Linked DNA regions of Rhinolophus ferrumequinum. The protein of the gene in region 1 interacts with the protein of each later gene in a pairwise test. Links are inferred from orthologs where the notes say so. Each region holds a gene or a part of one and is shown in the gene's direction. Other genes may lie near its edges.

What was found. The genes of interacting proteins can lie anywhere in the genome.
Region 2: the proteins of TNNI3 (region 1) and TNNC2 interact in binary tests that used the Homo sapiens proteins (3 or more experiments, as listed by UniProt). The two-hybrid records come from large-scale screens. The link is inferred for Rhinolophus ferrumequinum from reciprocal best matches to the Homo sapiens genes TNNI3 and TNNC2.

What each region holds. Positions count from the first base shown.
Region 1 is NC_046298.1:48,372,382-48,379,905, reverse strand, and holds the start of TNNI3 (troponin I, cardiac muscle), read left to right. Parts: upstream 1-4,459; 5' UTR 4,460-4,613; coding exon 4,614-4,624; intron 4,625-4,898; coding exon 4,899-4,911; intron 4,912-5,042; coding exon 5,043-5,129; intron 5,130-5,561; coding exon 5,562-5,603; intron 5,604-5,908; coding exon 5,909-6,040; intron 6,041-6,428; coding exon 6,429-6,518; intron 6,519-7,524. Other genes in the region: DNAAF3 (dynein axonemal assembly factor 3), read left to right, coding at 27-184, 497-679, 822-947, 1,044-1,166, 1,411-1,540, 2,165-2,279, 2,418-2,492, 2,575-3,016. UniProt on the Homo sapiens protein: Troponin I is the inhibitory subunit of troponin, the thin filament regulatory complex which confers calcium-sensitivity to striated muscle actomyosin ATPase activity.
Region 2 is NC_046306.1:12,303,894-12,311,809, forward strand, and holds TNNC2 (troponin C, skeletal muscle), read left to right. Parts: upstream 1-4,837; 5' UTR 4,838-4,970; coding exon 4,971-4,973; intron 4,974-6,425; coding exon 6,426-6,477; intron 6,478-6,616; coding exon 6,617-6,760; intron 6,761-6,861; coding exon 6,862-6,976; intron 6,977-7,141; coding exon 7,142-7,278; intron 7,279-7,541; coding exon 7,542-7,573; 3' UTR 7,574-7,714; downstream 7,715-7,916. Other genes in the region: SNX21 (sorting nexin-21), read right to left, coding at 28-185, 692-953. UniProt on the Homo sapiens protein: Troponin is the central regulatory protein of striated muscle contraction. Tn consists of three components: Tn-I which is the inhibitor of actomyosin ATPase, Tn-T which contains the binding site for tropomyosin and Tn-C.

The sequences.
Region 1 (7,524 bases):
ACTACTTTTGTCCCTTCTCCCGGCAGAGAGGAGCGAGGCCTTCCTGGAGGTGTGGGGTAACACGCTGCTGCGCCCCCCAGTGGCCGCTTTCGTGCGCGCCCAGGCCGACCGCCTAGCACATCTGGTACCGGAGCCCGACAGCCTAGCGGAGCAGCTGCCCTGGATTAGCTTGGGTGCACTCAAGGTGCCGCCGCCTAGCCTCCATCCATCACCGCCTGGGACCCGGGTGGCCGCGGAAAGAATGGAGATGAGCGGTCCAAAAAGGTTTCCGTTGATGGAGAGGGTCAGGAGCTGGAGAGTTGGAACTCCAGCTCCATGGCTCCCACTGTGGGATTTGGCCTAGGGGTTGGCTTCTGCTCTCCGAGCCTGTTTCTTTATCTGAGAAACGGGAGAATCGTGCCCACGCTCTGGGATGAAAGGGAGGGTCAAGCAGGAGAGGCTGCTCTCCCTGCAGCCCCTCCCTCTCGCTTTCTCTCCATGCATGCCGGCCGCGCAGTTCCGCGAACGGGACGTTCTGGAGGCGGTATTCCGCTTTTGGGCCGGTGGGGAGAAGGGGCCGGAGGCCTTCCCAATGAGTCGCCTCTGGGACTCGAGGCTGCGCCACTACCTGGGCTCCCGCTACGACGCCCGGCGCGGTGTCAGCGACTGGGACCTGCACATGAAGCTGCACGACCGCGGGGTGAGGGGGTTGGGGCCCTTCAGTCCTGAGTGTGAAGGAGGAGGGGCTGGGGGCCCGGACTCCTGGGTCTTTGAGAGGAAGGGCTGTTGGCCCGTTTACCGGACTCACTGAGGCTTCTTTTCTTTCCTTCTCCCCTCCGCAGGCCCGAGTCATCCACATACGCGAGTTCCGGCGCTGGAGGGACACAGGCGTCGCCTTTGAACTCAGAGACTCCAGCGCCTACCATGTGCCCAACAGGACCCTGGCGTCCGGTCGCCTACTGAGCCATGTGTGTGTCCACTCCCTGCCCTGGCAAGCTCCTTCTTTTGGGGCAACCAGGAGTTTGGATCGACCTCATCCGCCTCCTCTCTTCCTGCTTTCCCAGCGCGGGGAGCGCGTGGCAGCACGAGGGTACTGGGGGGACATCGCCACGGGGCCCTTCGTGGCTTTTGGCATCGAAGCGGACGATGAGAACCTCCTGCGGACCAGCAACGGGCAGCCGATCAAAGTGTGTGGCACCGGGTGCTGGGATCAGGGTGGTGTTCGCAAGGCCCCGCCCTCTGTATTCTAGGCCCCGCCACAAAATCATAGGCTCCGCCTCCACGGTTTACGCCCCATCCCTCTCCACTTTCTAAACACAGTCCGGGAATCCAAGCTGGTCCCCTACCGTAGAAGCTAGCTCTGGGGATGGAGAGGTGGGAGGGATGGCATTCTCTAAGCCCCGCCCCGCGGTCACGCCCATTCCCCCACAGACTGCCGGAGAGATCACTCTGCACAACGTGACGGAGCTGTTCCGAGCGCTGACCGCCTGGGGGCGTCCGAGAGCTTCCCAGGGGGACCTCGTGGAGGTGCCGGGCGAAGAGGATGGAACCCGCGAGCCTGGTAAGCGGCGGACTCAGTTCTTCCCCTTGAGAGGGGAGGCGGCTCGGGTGATAAAGTGGCTACATCATCCTCCCGGAGAGAGTGGGACCTGGACCCCCCGTTCCGGGCTCCAGACTTCAGGTGTTTCAAATACCAGCGTGGACAGATAACGGTTTCCAATGGCTGGACAAGTAACCTCCCCTTCCTGACTGTCCGTCTCTTTTTCTCTATTCTCTTTGTATTTCTGGCTCCCTTTTCTAAGTCCTGACACCATTCTTAGCATTCTGAACTCCAACAGTAGAATTCTAAGCCTTCCTGGGAAGCCTAAGAGGATGAGAACATTCTAATAAGGCTCTGGTCTCTCCCAGCTCACCTTTGCAGGAAAGCCCCCCCTCTCCAAATCTGGTCTTGCCTCCTTCTAACTGTCCCCCAATCTAGCCCTCCCCGTTGTTTGGGTGCCTTGTGCGGCCATGAGGGCTCACTCTTTTCCCTTCTCCTGAGTCTTACTTAGTTGCCTCGTCTATAAAATGTCTGTGCCTACCCAGCCAACATCCCAAAATTTCCCAGGCATCCACCTAAAAGAACGGATGAGAAAGGGCTTCGAGGAGGCTTTGTGTGTCTGCTTAACTCTGCCATCTTCCCCAGCAGCCCCGGGCCCGGCATCCTTCACTATCTGCTTCCTGCCCCTCCATTCTTCCCAGACCCTCCACCACAAGACCTGCTACAAGGGACAGTTCCAGCTTCTCTACGTGGCTTGTGGGTAAGAGGGCCTAGTGGGGGGCTTGCAGACTTCCCTCTCCCAGCCCCTCCTCCCTCAGACCCAGGAGTCCAGGTACCAGCCCCTCCTCCCTCAATACCTGAAAGTCTGAGCCTCAGTCCACCCCGTTTCCCTCCGCAGGATGGCCCATCTTCTCAGCCCTGAGCTCGGGGCCTGTGTGGCCCCTGGTGGACATCTGATTGTGGAGTTAGCCCGGTGAGCCAGCAGCTGAGAGTAGGGCAGGGAACAAGGCTGGGGGCGGAAAACCGTGTCTCTTAACGCTATTTCCCGATTTCAGGTACCTGGTGGACCTGCGGCAGGAGCAGCTGCAGGCGTTTACCGCCCGGGTTAGGGAGCTAGCTCAGGCAGCCGGATTCGCCCCACAGCCCGGGGCCAGGCCGTCTGAGACCTTCGCGCGCTTCTACAAGTGCCAGGACTCTGCTCCGGTCTGCACTGACTCAGTGGCCGAACCCGGGCCTCCAATCCCTGAAGTCCTGGTCCCGCCCCCTGGAGTCGTGGATCTGCTCCCTGAAGTCGTGGTCTCACCCCATGAGGCAAGGGACTCACTCTCTGAGGATCTGACCCAGCCCCTCCAAGGCCGAACCCCACCCCCTGTGCCCCTCCAGCTGCCCTCAGAATCTCAGGTTTCATTCTCTGAGGCTTCGGCTCCACCCACAGGGAGTGAGACCTCAAAACCAGAGTCTGACTGGATCCCCAGAAACCAAGTCCCCCATCTCTAACTTCTAAAGTCAGGTCTTCAGTCCCAAAGGCTTGAATTTCAGATTCCATTCCTGGGATTCTATATTCTATCCCTACAATTGTACATTGTTTTCTCAGAGTTCTACACTCCACTCCTGAGACTCTAAACGCGGCCTAGAGATTTGGCCCTGGGTCTACCGCCCTCTATGTGGTTCCCAGCTGTTCCATTCCTAACTTGGGGTTGGGGGTGTCTTCTCTCCTGGGGGTGGTCAGCACCCACGTGGTCAAGTAAAGAGAACCTGGTCCTCTTCTCTGTGTGTCTGTGTGTCTTTCCTGTCTTCAGTCTTTTCCTTGCCCCAAGGTTGGGGCAAGGAAGGGGTCAGAAGTGGTTAGAAAAGGAGAGCCAACATCAGATTTCTGGGTTTCCAAGTAGACTAGGAGTGGATTTCCTGGTGCTGTCGCTTGAGTGCCTGAGCACCCCACACTTGGATCCTCAAATAAATCAACAAAATACATTGAGTTGCTGACAGCTTTGGGGCACTGAACCTAACCATAAGATGAAAAACAACGAAGGACAAAGCTCCTGCCCTCATGGAGATTGCAGTTTAGTGAGGGGAGAGGAGCCCAGACGCCTGGGTCTGAAGGAGGAGGGGCTGGGGGCCTGGACTCCTGGGTCTGAAGGAGGAGGGGTTGGGGGCCTGGACTTCTGGGTCTGAAGGAGGAGGGGCTGGGGGCCTGGATTTCTGGGTCTGAAGGAGGAGGGGTTGGGGGCCTGGACTCCTGGGTCTGAAGGAGGAGGGGTTGGGGGCCTGGACTCCTGGGTCAAAGCTAAGGGGCCGGGGGCCTGGACTCCTGGGTCTGAAGGAGAAGGGGTTGGGGGCCTGGACTTCTGGGTCTGAAGGAGGAGGGGCTGGGGGCCTGGACTCCTGGGTCTGAAGGAGGAGGGGTTGGGGGCCTGGACTTCTGGGTCTGAAGGAGGAGGGGCTGGGGGCCTGGATTTCTGGGTCTGAAGGAGGAGGGGTTGGGGGCCTGGACTCCTGGGTCTGAAGGAGGAGGGGTTGGGGGCCTGGACTCCTGGGTCAAAGCTAAGGGGCCGGGGGCCTGGACTCCTGGGTCTGAAGGAGAAGGGGTTGGGGGCCTGGACTTCTGGGTCTGAAGGAGGAGGGGCTGGGGGCCTGGACTTCTGGGTCTGAAGGAGGAGGGGCTGGGGGCCTGGACTCCTGGGTCTGAGGGAGGAGGGGTTGGGGGCCTGGACTTCTGGGTCTGAAGGAGGAGGGGCTGGGGGCCTGGACTCCTGGGTCTGAAGGAGGAGGGGCTGGGGGCCTGGACTCCTGGGTCAAAGCTAAGGGGCCGGGCTGGATTCCCAGTCCACCAATGTGGACGGGTGATCCAGCTGAAGCATGGCCCATCCCACCCCTCACGTGCCCTGTTATCTCGCATCCTGGGCAGAGGGAGGAGAGGGCAGCAGTATATTTAGTCTCTGCCTTCGCCCTTTATCAGTGTCCTCAGTGAGGCTTGAGCTGCTCAGACGCGACGAAGTCCCAAGGGTCTTCAAGGTCACCCCGGACGCCCCCTCACTGACCCTCCAAGAGCCTGTTGCCCTTCTCTGCCTTTGCAACACTTGGCTAGAGTCTCAGCATGGCAGACGAGTGAGTGAAGCTGGTAACCCGGTCTCCTGGGTCCCTGGGAGGGGTGAGAGCTGGGAGGCTGGACCCCTGGCCTGAGAAGGGAGGTGGAGACAGGACTCCTGGGAGTCGGAATGGGTTAAGAGTTTGGGAATCACACTCCTGGGACCAGAGTCGGGAGAGCTGGTGGTCAGACCTCTTGGTCAGAGGGGCTTCTGGGGTCCCTTAGGAGAAGGACTGGACAGGACAGTAAAGAGGCCCAGCATTAACCCCCCTTTCCTGGTTTCTCTCCCTTCAGAAGCAGCGATGCGGTGAGAGCAGGCGTGGGCCGGACCCGCGGGCCGGGGGAGGGCGCTGCCGGGAGGGCTCTGGGGCGGGAGGCTGGAGCATACAGGGGAGCTGGGGGTCCTGGTGGTAATGCGGCTCCGTCCCCCCAACCCAGGCCGGGGACTCGTGCCCCGCGCCTGCTCCGATCCGCCGCCGCTCCTCCGCCAACTACCGCGCTTATGCCACCGAGCCGCATGCCAAGGTGAGGGCGGGGCCAGTGCGGCGGGCGGGGCAAGGGCGGGGTCCGGATTCAGACTCTGAGGTGGTTTACTCGTACCTTGGGAAATGGGGACGGGGCCAGGTCCTTAATAGAGGCGGGACTTCAGTCATTCACGGAGCCAAAAGGGATGAGGCGCTTTGGATGGGGGGCGGGGGGTTCTCAAGGGGCTGGGATCGGATTGTCAGAGCTGCCTATGGGCGGGGTTCCGTTGTCCAGGGGAACTACGATTGCTTAGGGAATATTGGGCCCAGATTGGTGGATGGGACTGAGGGGCGTAGCCTCACGTAGACCTAGGGCTGGAGTTGGAGGCGGGCCCAATCCTCGACCTGACTAGAGGTGGTGGGTTCTTAAGTCCCTCCCACCGCCCACCTTCGGATCCCCCTTCCTGATCCTCTCTCTATCTCACCCTGGCAGAAAAAGTCTAAGATCTCCGCCTCGAGAAAACTGCAGCTGAAGGTGCGGACGGGCCTGGAGAGGGCGCCTAGATGTCCTTGGGTGGCAGAGCTTGAAAATTGGGGCGGGGCTTTGGATTGTCATTGGGCGTGGCTTGAAGTGGTGCGTCTTGGGGGCGTGACTTTGAGGTGGGGAGCCCAGCCATAGGAGAGGCGGGGCCTTGGAATGATGGACCTTGAGGAGGCGTGTCTCTGGAAGACCAAGGACCCCGCCAGAGATTAGAGGGAGGGCCAGACAGAGGGGGCATCCCCTCTGCGACTTCGAACCCCTCACCCCGGTGGGCTGTGGTCCCGGCGTCCCCTCTGCAGACCCTGATGCTACAGATAGCGAAGCAGGAGCTGGAGCGGGAGGCGGAGGATCGGCGTGGAGAGAAGGGACGCGCTCTGAGCACGCGGTGCCAGCCTCTGGAGTTAGCCGGGCTGGGCTTCCAGGAGCTGCAGGTACCGGCCCTAATCACGGACTCCTGCCCAGCCCGGGTTCCGAGGTTCCTCGTGTCCGATCTTGCATCCTTGGGAGTTGGGTACAGTCACTATTGTCCCCCTTCTGCTCAGGACCTTGGGGTCCAATCTCCCAATCCTTACCCTCACAAGTTCAGAAATATGGCCTGCAGCTGCAAAAAATCCAGAGGTTGCTTTTTCCAGCCCTAATTCTGTCAGATTCTCAGGACTCCTTGCTCTAGAGTTCTGCTTTGTTCTCAGTTCCTCAGAATTCAGCTTCAGTCTACTCCTTCAGGACCAGATGTCCAGGTCCCCAGATATTCCTCCCTCAGACCCAAGAGTCCAGGTCCCCAGGCTCCCCCCAACTACACACACCACTTTCCTTCACCAGGACTTGTGCCGACAGCTTCATGCCCGTGTGGACAAGGTGGATGAGGAGAGATACGATGTGGAGGCAAAAGTTACCAAGAACATCACGGAGGTGGGAGGCACGGGGCAGTCTGGTTCCCTTCAGGGTGGGGTGCAATGCCTGGGGCTGTTGTCAGCCTGGTCCCTTGCAGCTGCTTGTGGTTAAGGAGACCCATGACAACTCTGTCAGTCTAGTAGGGAGGGGGCAGAAGGATGACTTCAGTATGGCCAGGCAAGGCTGTTTCAGGCAGAGGGAACAACACATGCAAAAGCCAGGATGTAGGACAGCAGAAAACATGTTTGTGAAAATACAAAGGTCTGACATTAAGTTCGTGAACTTGTTGCAATTATGTTGTTAATCTTTTTTGATATCAGATGGATTATTATGAATTTGTACCAACTGGACAAACAGTTAACCAAGTTTACTATGTGGAAGTGCTGAAAAGGGGGCATGAAAAAGTTAGTTAGGTGACCTGAACTTTTTGCCAACAATTCATGGCTCTTGCATCATGACAATGCACCAGCTCACACGGCACTGTCTGTGAGGGTTTTTTTGTTTTGTTTTGTTTTGTTTAATTTTATTGGGGAACTGTTTTTTCCAGGACCCATCAGCTCCAAGTCAAGTCTTTGTCCTTCAGTCTAGTTGTGGAGGGCGCAGCTCAGCCCCAAGTCCTGTCGCCATTTTCAAGAGCACATGTTTTAACCAACTGAGCCATCAGGCCACCCACCAGCAGCTCAGTGGCAGCTCAGCTCAAGTCGTCCTCAATCTAGTTGTTGAGGGCACAGCTCACTGGCCCATGTGGGAATCAAAATAGCAACCTTGTTGTTAAGAACATGTGCTCTAACCAACTGAGCTAACCAACTGCCTCTGTGAGGGAGTTTTTAGCCAGTAAACAAATAACTGTATTGGAACACCCTCCCTACTCACCTGATCTGGCCCCCAGTGACTTCTTTCTTTACCCGGAGATAAAGGAAATATTGAAAGGAAGACATTTTGATGACATTCAGGACATCAAGGGTAATACGACAACAGCTATGATGGCCATTCCAGAAAAAGTTCCAAAATGGCTTTGAAGGGT
Region 2 (7,916 bases), on another chromosome or scaffold:
CTCAGGAATTCCTGGACACTCACTCACCACGTACTTGGAGGGGGGGTCCTTGACCACATTGGCGCTGGTCACTTCGAAGAGCAGCCGCTGGGGTACCAGGGTGTTCCGGGACTTCTTCCAGAAATCCTGCAATTGCCGTGCCAGGTGCTGACTACCCCGCTGCCCATCAGGTGGGGGGTTCTGTTCTGCATGAGTACAGACCAGTCACATCAATGGGCCCGGAGCCAGGATCACATAAACCACGTTCTATGACCTTACTCATCCTCCCAACAAGTGACATAACTTTATCCCCATTTGTCATAAAAGGAAACTGAGGGCCAGAGAGGGCCTGAATGCCCAACATCGTGCCTGGCAGATAAGTGCACAGTAGGCACTAACTTAATATCTGCACCCCCAAGACATCCCTAGCACATTACCACGTTGTATCCCTGACTCTGGTACAGCTAATGTCTGCAACAACTCTGAGAAGGGAGTGATTTCCCCCATCTGACACTAGGGAGAACTTGGTTCAAAAAGGTATTGTGACTCTCTCAAGGTCACACATTCAAGAGGTGGTTGGGACACTTCAAAGTGTCAGAATTTCGGAGTTTGGGCAAGATCAACTCAGAGCCCTGTGACCATCTCGGGAAGGTGGCCGTGGTGGAGGCCTAATCGAGCCCCCAAGGTTTCCGCCTTCGTCCTCCGCACTCGCCTGTGTCTTCTCCCGACGCCTCGTCCCCACGGGGCAGTGGGTCCGGGCCGTCGTCCTCGTCGTCGTCCTCGTCCTCGTCGTCCGCATCCTCGGCGCTGGTGAAGCTAAGGGTGCCGCTGAGACGGGAGGACAGGCCCTCGGCGTCGTCGTCCTCCAGCTCCGAGCTCTCCGGGAACTGCTCGACCTCGGGACCGGCCGCCGCCTCCCCGAGGCCCTCGCCGGCCAGAGCGTGCCGCAGCCGGTGCAGGAGCCGCGAAGCCATGGCACCCTAGGGGGAGTGCGTGACTGTGGGTCCTGAGCCCTGGCGGAAGACCCGGGCCCCGATCGGGAAGGAGGAGGGGAGGGGTCCAGGTTGGGGGAGGGAGGGACGCCGCGGAGGCCCCGCCCCTGCCCGGTGGGGTCCTGAGAGTCCCGGGACTCCTCTCGCATCCCCCTCCCCTCACCCGCACAGCTTGGGGCCGCGCACTTCCCGGGAGGGGCCGGGACTCTACTACCCACGTCTCTGTCTCCCCCTGTAGCGTCTCGACCTCCTGCGTTCAGCGGAGCACTCGGGGACGCGTCGCTGCCTAGGGGTCCCGGTGCAGCCCCCGGCCGTTTACAGAGGCCGGGCCGGCTCTGCCCGGCCCAGCAGCTCCGGGCGCCGCTCCTGCCGCTTCCTGCCGCCGCCCCGCCCCCAGCCCCGCCCGCTACCCGGAGACGCCCGGGAATCCCAGGCCCTTTGCTCTAGGAGAGACTTGGGAATCCTGGGTAGGCCTGGGCGAGCCCCAGGCCTCCTGCGGTATCGTCTCCAATCCGACGGGGCTCACACCCTCCTTGAATCCTCTCACCCATCCCGGAGACTCAGGCTGGACCCAATATAGCCCCTAGTTTCCACCCAGCACTCTTGAACTCTCCAAAGTCATTACGTGACAGTGGGAAACCCATCTTTCCGGTGAGAAAACTAAGGCCAAGAGAAGACCCGTGATCTGGGTTGGAATCTGACCGCGCTGAGCCTAGGTTTTCTCATGTATAAAAGTACAATTAATACTAGTACTAATTTTGCAGCTTTTGTAAGGACCGTAGTCCAGTGCCTGGCACAGAGCAGGGATTTACAGAATGATCAGTCACATGATTATTGTTTCTACAGTGTTCATAGGCTTTTACAATTCCACTTGAGCCTCACATAAAGGAAGTAGGCAAAAGGGTAAGAAACCCAGAGAGACTGAGTTACTTGCCCAAAGTCACACAGCTTGCCAAGAGTTTTCTGAGTATGGGGCCTAATAGCCCAGGTTTCTGAGTTCTTTCCCTGTTCTTTTCCTAAGCAGCAGGCCCGCTAATTTTGAGCAACATCTATGGAGGGCTGTGTTTTATGTGTTATGGGGATGGTAGCAGCAGGTGAAGAAGAATTTATTGTCGCTGCCTGTGTCGGAAGGCCCAGATATTGGTCCCTAACAGGGCAGATATTGCTAGTTATACAACCGAACAAATAAAATCGCTCTGATAGTAGCTCCCACCCGTTTTGAATGGCACAGGAGAGGGGGGTAGGGGAAAATAGCTTTGAATGGAAAACACATTCCCTGCCATCCCACGTGCAGAGGGGGCGGGGCTCTCATTTCTTGAGGTTCCATTGAGTTTCCGTGTACATCCTGTTCTAGGCACTTTGCATGGGGTCACATTTCACCCTCACAACATCCTAGGGAAGGGGTTGTTATTGGACAATGACGGTCCATTTTCAAGATGAAGAAACTGAGGCAAATTGACTTTCCCAAAATCCACAGCTAGGAAATAGGAGAGCTTGGAATTAAGGCCAAGTCTGTGTAATTTCAAAGTTCTAACTACTCTTCATTCAGCTTACCAGCATGGTGTTGGGGCAAAAAAGACACATCATTCATTCATTCACTCAACACTCACTCATTCACCAAACATTGGCTGAATATTAAGTTGTACTTTGGTATATGCCTCACAATCTGGGTACAAAGCAGGTATTCATAAAACCATGGGTTGTCAGAGCAGGAGGGTCTCTCAGAAATCTGGCCTAGCACTTCCATTTTCCAGATGGGTAGTCTGAGGCTCAGGGAGGGGAAAGGGCTTACCCTGGGACACACAAACAGGGCCAGAACAAGGAGATCTCCTGATGTCCTGTATTGCACTACTCTTAGACTCTGTATGGAGAGATGGTCATCAAATTCCTGCTTGCATGCATTCAGTAACAAGAAGCTTTTCACCTCCTGAGGCTGCCTGTTCCTGTTGTTCTTCAACGGTGACTTCCTTCTTGTATTGAACCAGTAGCCATTCAGTTCAGTTATTCTTACAAAGCACACAATCTTTATTGAACCCTTGCTAAGTGCCAAGTGCTGGGTACTGGGCAATGCAGTGGTGACTAGGACACCGCCTCTTGTCTGTGGAACTCAGAACGGGTTGTGATCATGGGGCACGTGCAGTGTTATGACTGAGGAAACTACTGGAGACCACCTTAGACTCTCTTGGCCTGGGTGTAGAGGAAGAGGGATCCTGGATGAAGTAATGCTAAAGCTGAGAAAGATAGAGAAGTAAGCAGATGAAGAGCGGGAAGATGGGAAGATCCTGGCAGAAAAAAACAGCACGTGCGAAGGCCTGGAGGCTATAAAGGGTGGTGTTTTGAATTGTATTTTCATTGGACCAAAGCAAAGCAGCATGCAAGGTGGGGAGGGAAGGGGAGTGAGATGGGAGTGGTCAGTGGGACCTTGCTTGGCCACACTAAATGTGGATGTTATCTATGCCCCTGAACAAATTAAATAACAAATCAATGAACAAATGATTGCTGAGAGTTCCACACTCTGTTCCAAAGGGATCAAGTGGTTCCAACGTTTGTGTCCAAATTGGAATCCCTTGAGTGTCATCGCCCCTTGGCCCTCTGTCTGGCTTGGAGAGGCCTTATTTAGCCTGGCCTGGCTCCTCTGAGCTTTCCTTTGGGAATGTCTATATATAGGGGAAGAGGGCAGCCCAGTTGCCACTGTCCATCTGCCTACCTTGGTGTCCAGCCCCCTTTCACTGGCCCCAGACTCTGTGCTCAGTTGTCTCAGAGCTCTTTCTGTTGCCTTAACCATTGTCATGAGTGTGGCCTACTTCCCAACGCCCAGGCTGGACCCTGTGGATTCTCAGGCTAGGACCCCTTCAGACGTGACTTGATCTGCTCACCCTTTTACTCTCCAGATGGTCAGCTGAGCACCTGCAGACTTCACCCCCAAGCTCCAACAAGGGGTCCGCTGCCCCTTTATCTAATTAGACAAACTTCCTCTGGTCCTCTTCCTCCCCCAAAAAGTAAATCTCCAAATCCTTTCCCTGGAGAAGGTAAACTTCAGAGAAGAATCTGCTTTCAATGTTGATTTCTCCTCCAAGGGCACATCCTGTTTCCTGGACCCGGCCGAACAATTCTCCGTCTGGATGGGTCCCCCAAGAAGTGTCTGTCCCAAGTTCCCCTCAGTCAAGATTAATACGAATCACCAATCTGACTATAGACCTTTATGATTTACAAAGCTCCCCAATAAAAAGGGCATAACAATAGTTGGCACCCCACAGGATGAGTACTAGATGAGCTCTGAGATAATGTGGTTAAAATGCTTAGTACAGTGTGTGCATGTTGTAGAGGTTCAATAACTGTGGCTGTCACTTTCCCTTCCTCGGGTCCTGTTCAAAGACAGGACATTCCATTTGCCAAGCATCAACAGTATGTAGCTGGCACAAGCTAGGTGACTTATACTTGGGCTCCTGTGTACCACAGTCTCTCTGTGAGGGAGGTTATGACTGTGCCCTTCTCACAGACAAGGAAACAGGAGCTCAGAGCAGCATTGCCACCTGTCCAAGGTTACACAGCCTGCCGAGGCAGGACTTAGATTTTGGGTTTTGGACTTCAAGGTTTGTGCTTCCCCATTCCACCGCGTAGCCTCACTTTTCTCTATTCTGATTGTCCTCACCCATCTTGGAGCAAGTGTGCTTCTTGGAGGGGGCTCGCGAAGGTAGTGGAGCAGGGCGGGTTCTCCTCTAAGAATCTAGGACGTCAAGGCCTGCCACCTGCTCTGAGGCTTCAATTTCTCTGCAAGGGCCCTTGGCTAAATTAGGCAATGGGCTAGGACTCCGGGAGGAGGGGGGACTCACTGACCCCAGGATCTGATTGGCCAGGGCATCCAGTCCTGGGGAGCAGGGAGGTGGGAGGATAAGGTGCCCCTACAAATCCCAGGGCCTGGAGCGGGCCAGGGCATCTTTGGGTGGTGGAGTGCAGAGGAGGTGACCAGCAGCAGAGGAGTCCCTGTGACTAGGAACCATGGTAAGGACAAGAAGGGACTTCATCCCTTTGCTTGCTGGAGGACGCCTGGGCTCTTTAAAGCCAAATCCGAGTGCTCTGTGGAACAGTAACTTGGATGTTTGAAGATGGAATGTGAAGGTTCCTGCAACCCAGGTGTCTAGGAGGAAGCCTGGGAGGAAAGCCTTGGACTTCTCTTGGAAGGCAGGGCGGGGATGTCCCCGGCATTGGCCCTCAAGGTGTGCAGATTTCCTGCAGACCTTCTAGGACTTCCAGCAATGTTGGTCTTTGACCTGTGAGGGGGGTGTCTTAGCTTGTGTCTACCTTAGCTTGGTAGAGATGGGGACCCTGAGGGCCAGAGTGAGTCACACCAGCGAACCGGTGGCAGGGATAGGCTGGAGAAGCCTGGCCAAACCCTCCTGCCAGTGGGAGAAGAAAGTCTCCTTTGGAAGGTGGGAGGCCTCCAGGGCCTCAAGCTCCAAGGGTTATGAGAAGGGGCAGAAGATGACAGGCCAGAGTTAGAGAGACCCCAGCCTCCCACAGAGGGGGTCTGCTTTGGAGCTATCATCTTTCTCTGAGATCCCCCTCTCCACTGCACTTCAAGGAGTAACTAGACCCTGGAGGCCAGCTGCTGTTGCCCTCACCAGCCTAAAATTAGCTTGTCCTCCTGGCACAGGCAAGGAGGAGGGGGGCAAGGAGGAGGGCCAGCCACCAGCCAGAGGAACTTCTTGGGTGCCTCAGCCCTTCCTCACCACCAGCCACAGTCCAAAGCCCCCTATCCAGATGGCTTGGCTTAGATGTGACTGGAAACCCCACGGGAATCTTATTTTCACCCCTGCAAGGCCCCCATCATGTTCTGCCTGGCATGAGTGGCCTTTACTCTAATGACTGAATCATAAGAAGGAAGCTTAAACATCTCCACTTCTGCAAGTTCCCAGAGGGGAAGGATGAGGTGTCTGCTTGGTGGTCCTAGTGCTTGGGTTATGTTCTGACACTTAGTGGGTGCTCAGGAACGTGGTGTTGTGTGATTTATTTGAGAACAAACATTTATTGAGCACCTATTAAAGTACGAGATACAGTTAGGAGCTAGGGAAAATGGGGAAATCACGCTGGACTGGTGCTGGCGCTTTACAAAGTCCTTTCACAGCCCTAATTTCATTTCATCCCTGAAAAGCTGCTCAGAAGAGGTGAGGATATGAGGGGACATCAAGTGACCCCCCCCAAGGTTACTGGGGGGGTTCCTGACTTGACTTCTGATTGACAAGCGAGAAGGCCTTGGGCATAATGTTTCCTCTCTAGTTATCCAAAACTGGGGTCCGGGGCTGTGGGGGCAGGCAGAAGGGATGGCTAGTTTGGAGTTGTTCTTCCTGATGACCAAGGGGCACTTACAGAGCTGGCGCTTGAGGACACAGGGGTTAAGGCAAGAATTTGCCCCAGGGCTGCCCCTTCTGTCATCTGACTCTGTGTCTTCTGCAGACAGACCAGCAGGCCGAGGCCCGGTCCTACCTCAGCGAGGAGATGATCGCTGGTGAGTGGAGTGGCAGGCTAACTGTAGGGTTGATGTCTGCTGGGGGGATGTTTGGTATCTGGGCAGGGTGGGAAGGTAGATGTGAGGCTGACAGTCCAGCCAGGCTTACCTCAGCCCTCTGCCTTCCTTCACTTCGCAGAGTTCAAGGCCGCCTTTGACATGTTTGACGCTGATGGTGGCGGGGACATCAGCGTCAAGGAGTTGGGCACGGTGATGAGAATGCTGGGCCAGACACCCACCAAAGAGGAGCTGGACGCCATCATTGAGGAGGTGGATGAGGACGGTGAGCGGGTGGCCTCCCCAGGCAGGGTGCGAGGGGGAATCGGGAGAGGCGGGCAGCCAGGTGTCCGGGACTCAGGGTCACTCACCACCTGCTCCCTTCAGGCAGCGGCACCATCGACTTCGAGGAGTTCTTGGTCATGATGGTGCGCCAGATGAAAGAGGACGCGAAAGGGAAGAGCGAGGAGGAGCTGGCCGAGTGTTTCCGCGTCTTCGACAGGTGCATTGGGGGCCTGGGAGCCGAGGCAGGCGCTGAGCAGCCGGAGACCGGTCCGCAGGGCGCGAAGGGTTCTCGGGGTGGGGGTGCTGGGAGTGGGGTGTGGAGTGTGGCGGGGGCGGCGAGCCCCTGCCTGCCCTGAGTCCCGCCCTGTCCCTCGGCCCGAAGGAACGCAGACGGCTACATCGATGCGGAGGAGCTGGCTGAGATCTTCAGGTCCTCTGGGGAGCACGTGACAGATGAGGAGATCGAATCCCTGATGAAAGACGGGGATAAGAACAACGATGGCCGCATTGACTTCGACGGTGAGGGCCACAGGCCTGGGGAGCCGGGACAGAGCCGCGTGGAGCGCATCCAGGGCGGGGCACCCGTGCCGCCGGCACCCACGCGGGCGGCTAGCCTCAGGGGCGGGGCGGGGCTGGCCTGACCGGGTTCCTCCCGCGCGCCCGGTGTCGGCGGGCGCCCTGGCCCGGCCTCACTCGCCGCCCCCTGACACTGCGCCCCCGGCGCAGGGTTCTGCGTCCCGAGGGGACCCCTGACCGCCTGTCCCTCTCTCTCCTTCCCGCAGAGTTCCTGAAGATGATGGAGGGCGTGCAGTAAGAAGTCGGCCCTCGCCCACCGAAACCGCGCCACCCTCGGGTGACGGGGCTTCTCCCCGCTCCGTGCCATTCCCCGCCCGGGAGGGAGGCGCGGTCCCTTTCGGGATCCTTTTCTAGAAGGAATAAAAGCAATCGTTGCAAAGCGCTTGGTCTGAGTGAGGGAAGGATCGAAGAGCGGGTGTCAGGGGCAGCTTGGCTGGGCAGGGCGCCACCCCGGCTGGCGCCACCCGAGCGCCTTCCGGCTCCTAGAAGAGGCGAGTCCAGCAGCGGGATGTGGAAAGGCACCGGGTCGCAGGAGCCCGAGGCGGTGGCGGTCGAGTGCAGGGCGGCGCTCGACGAGCTCG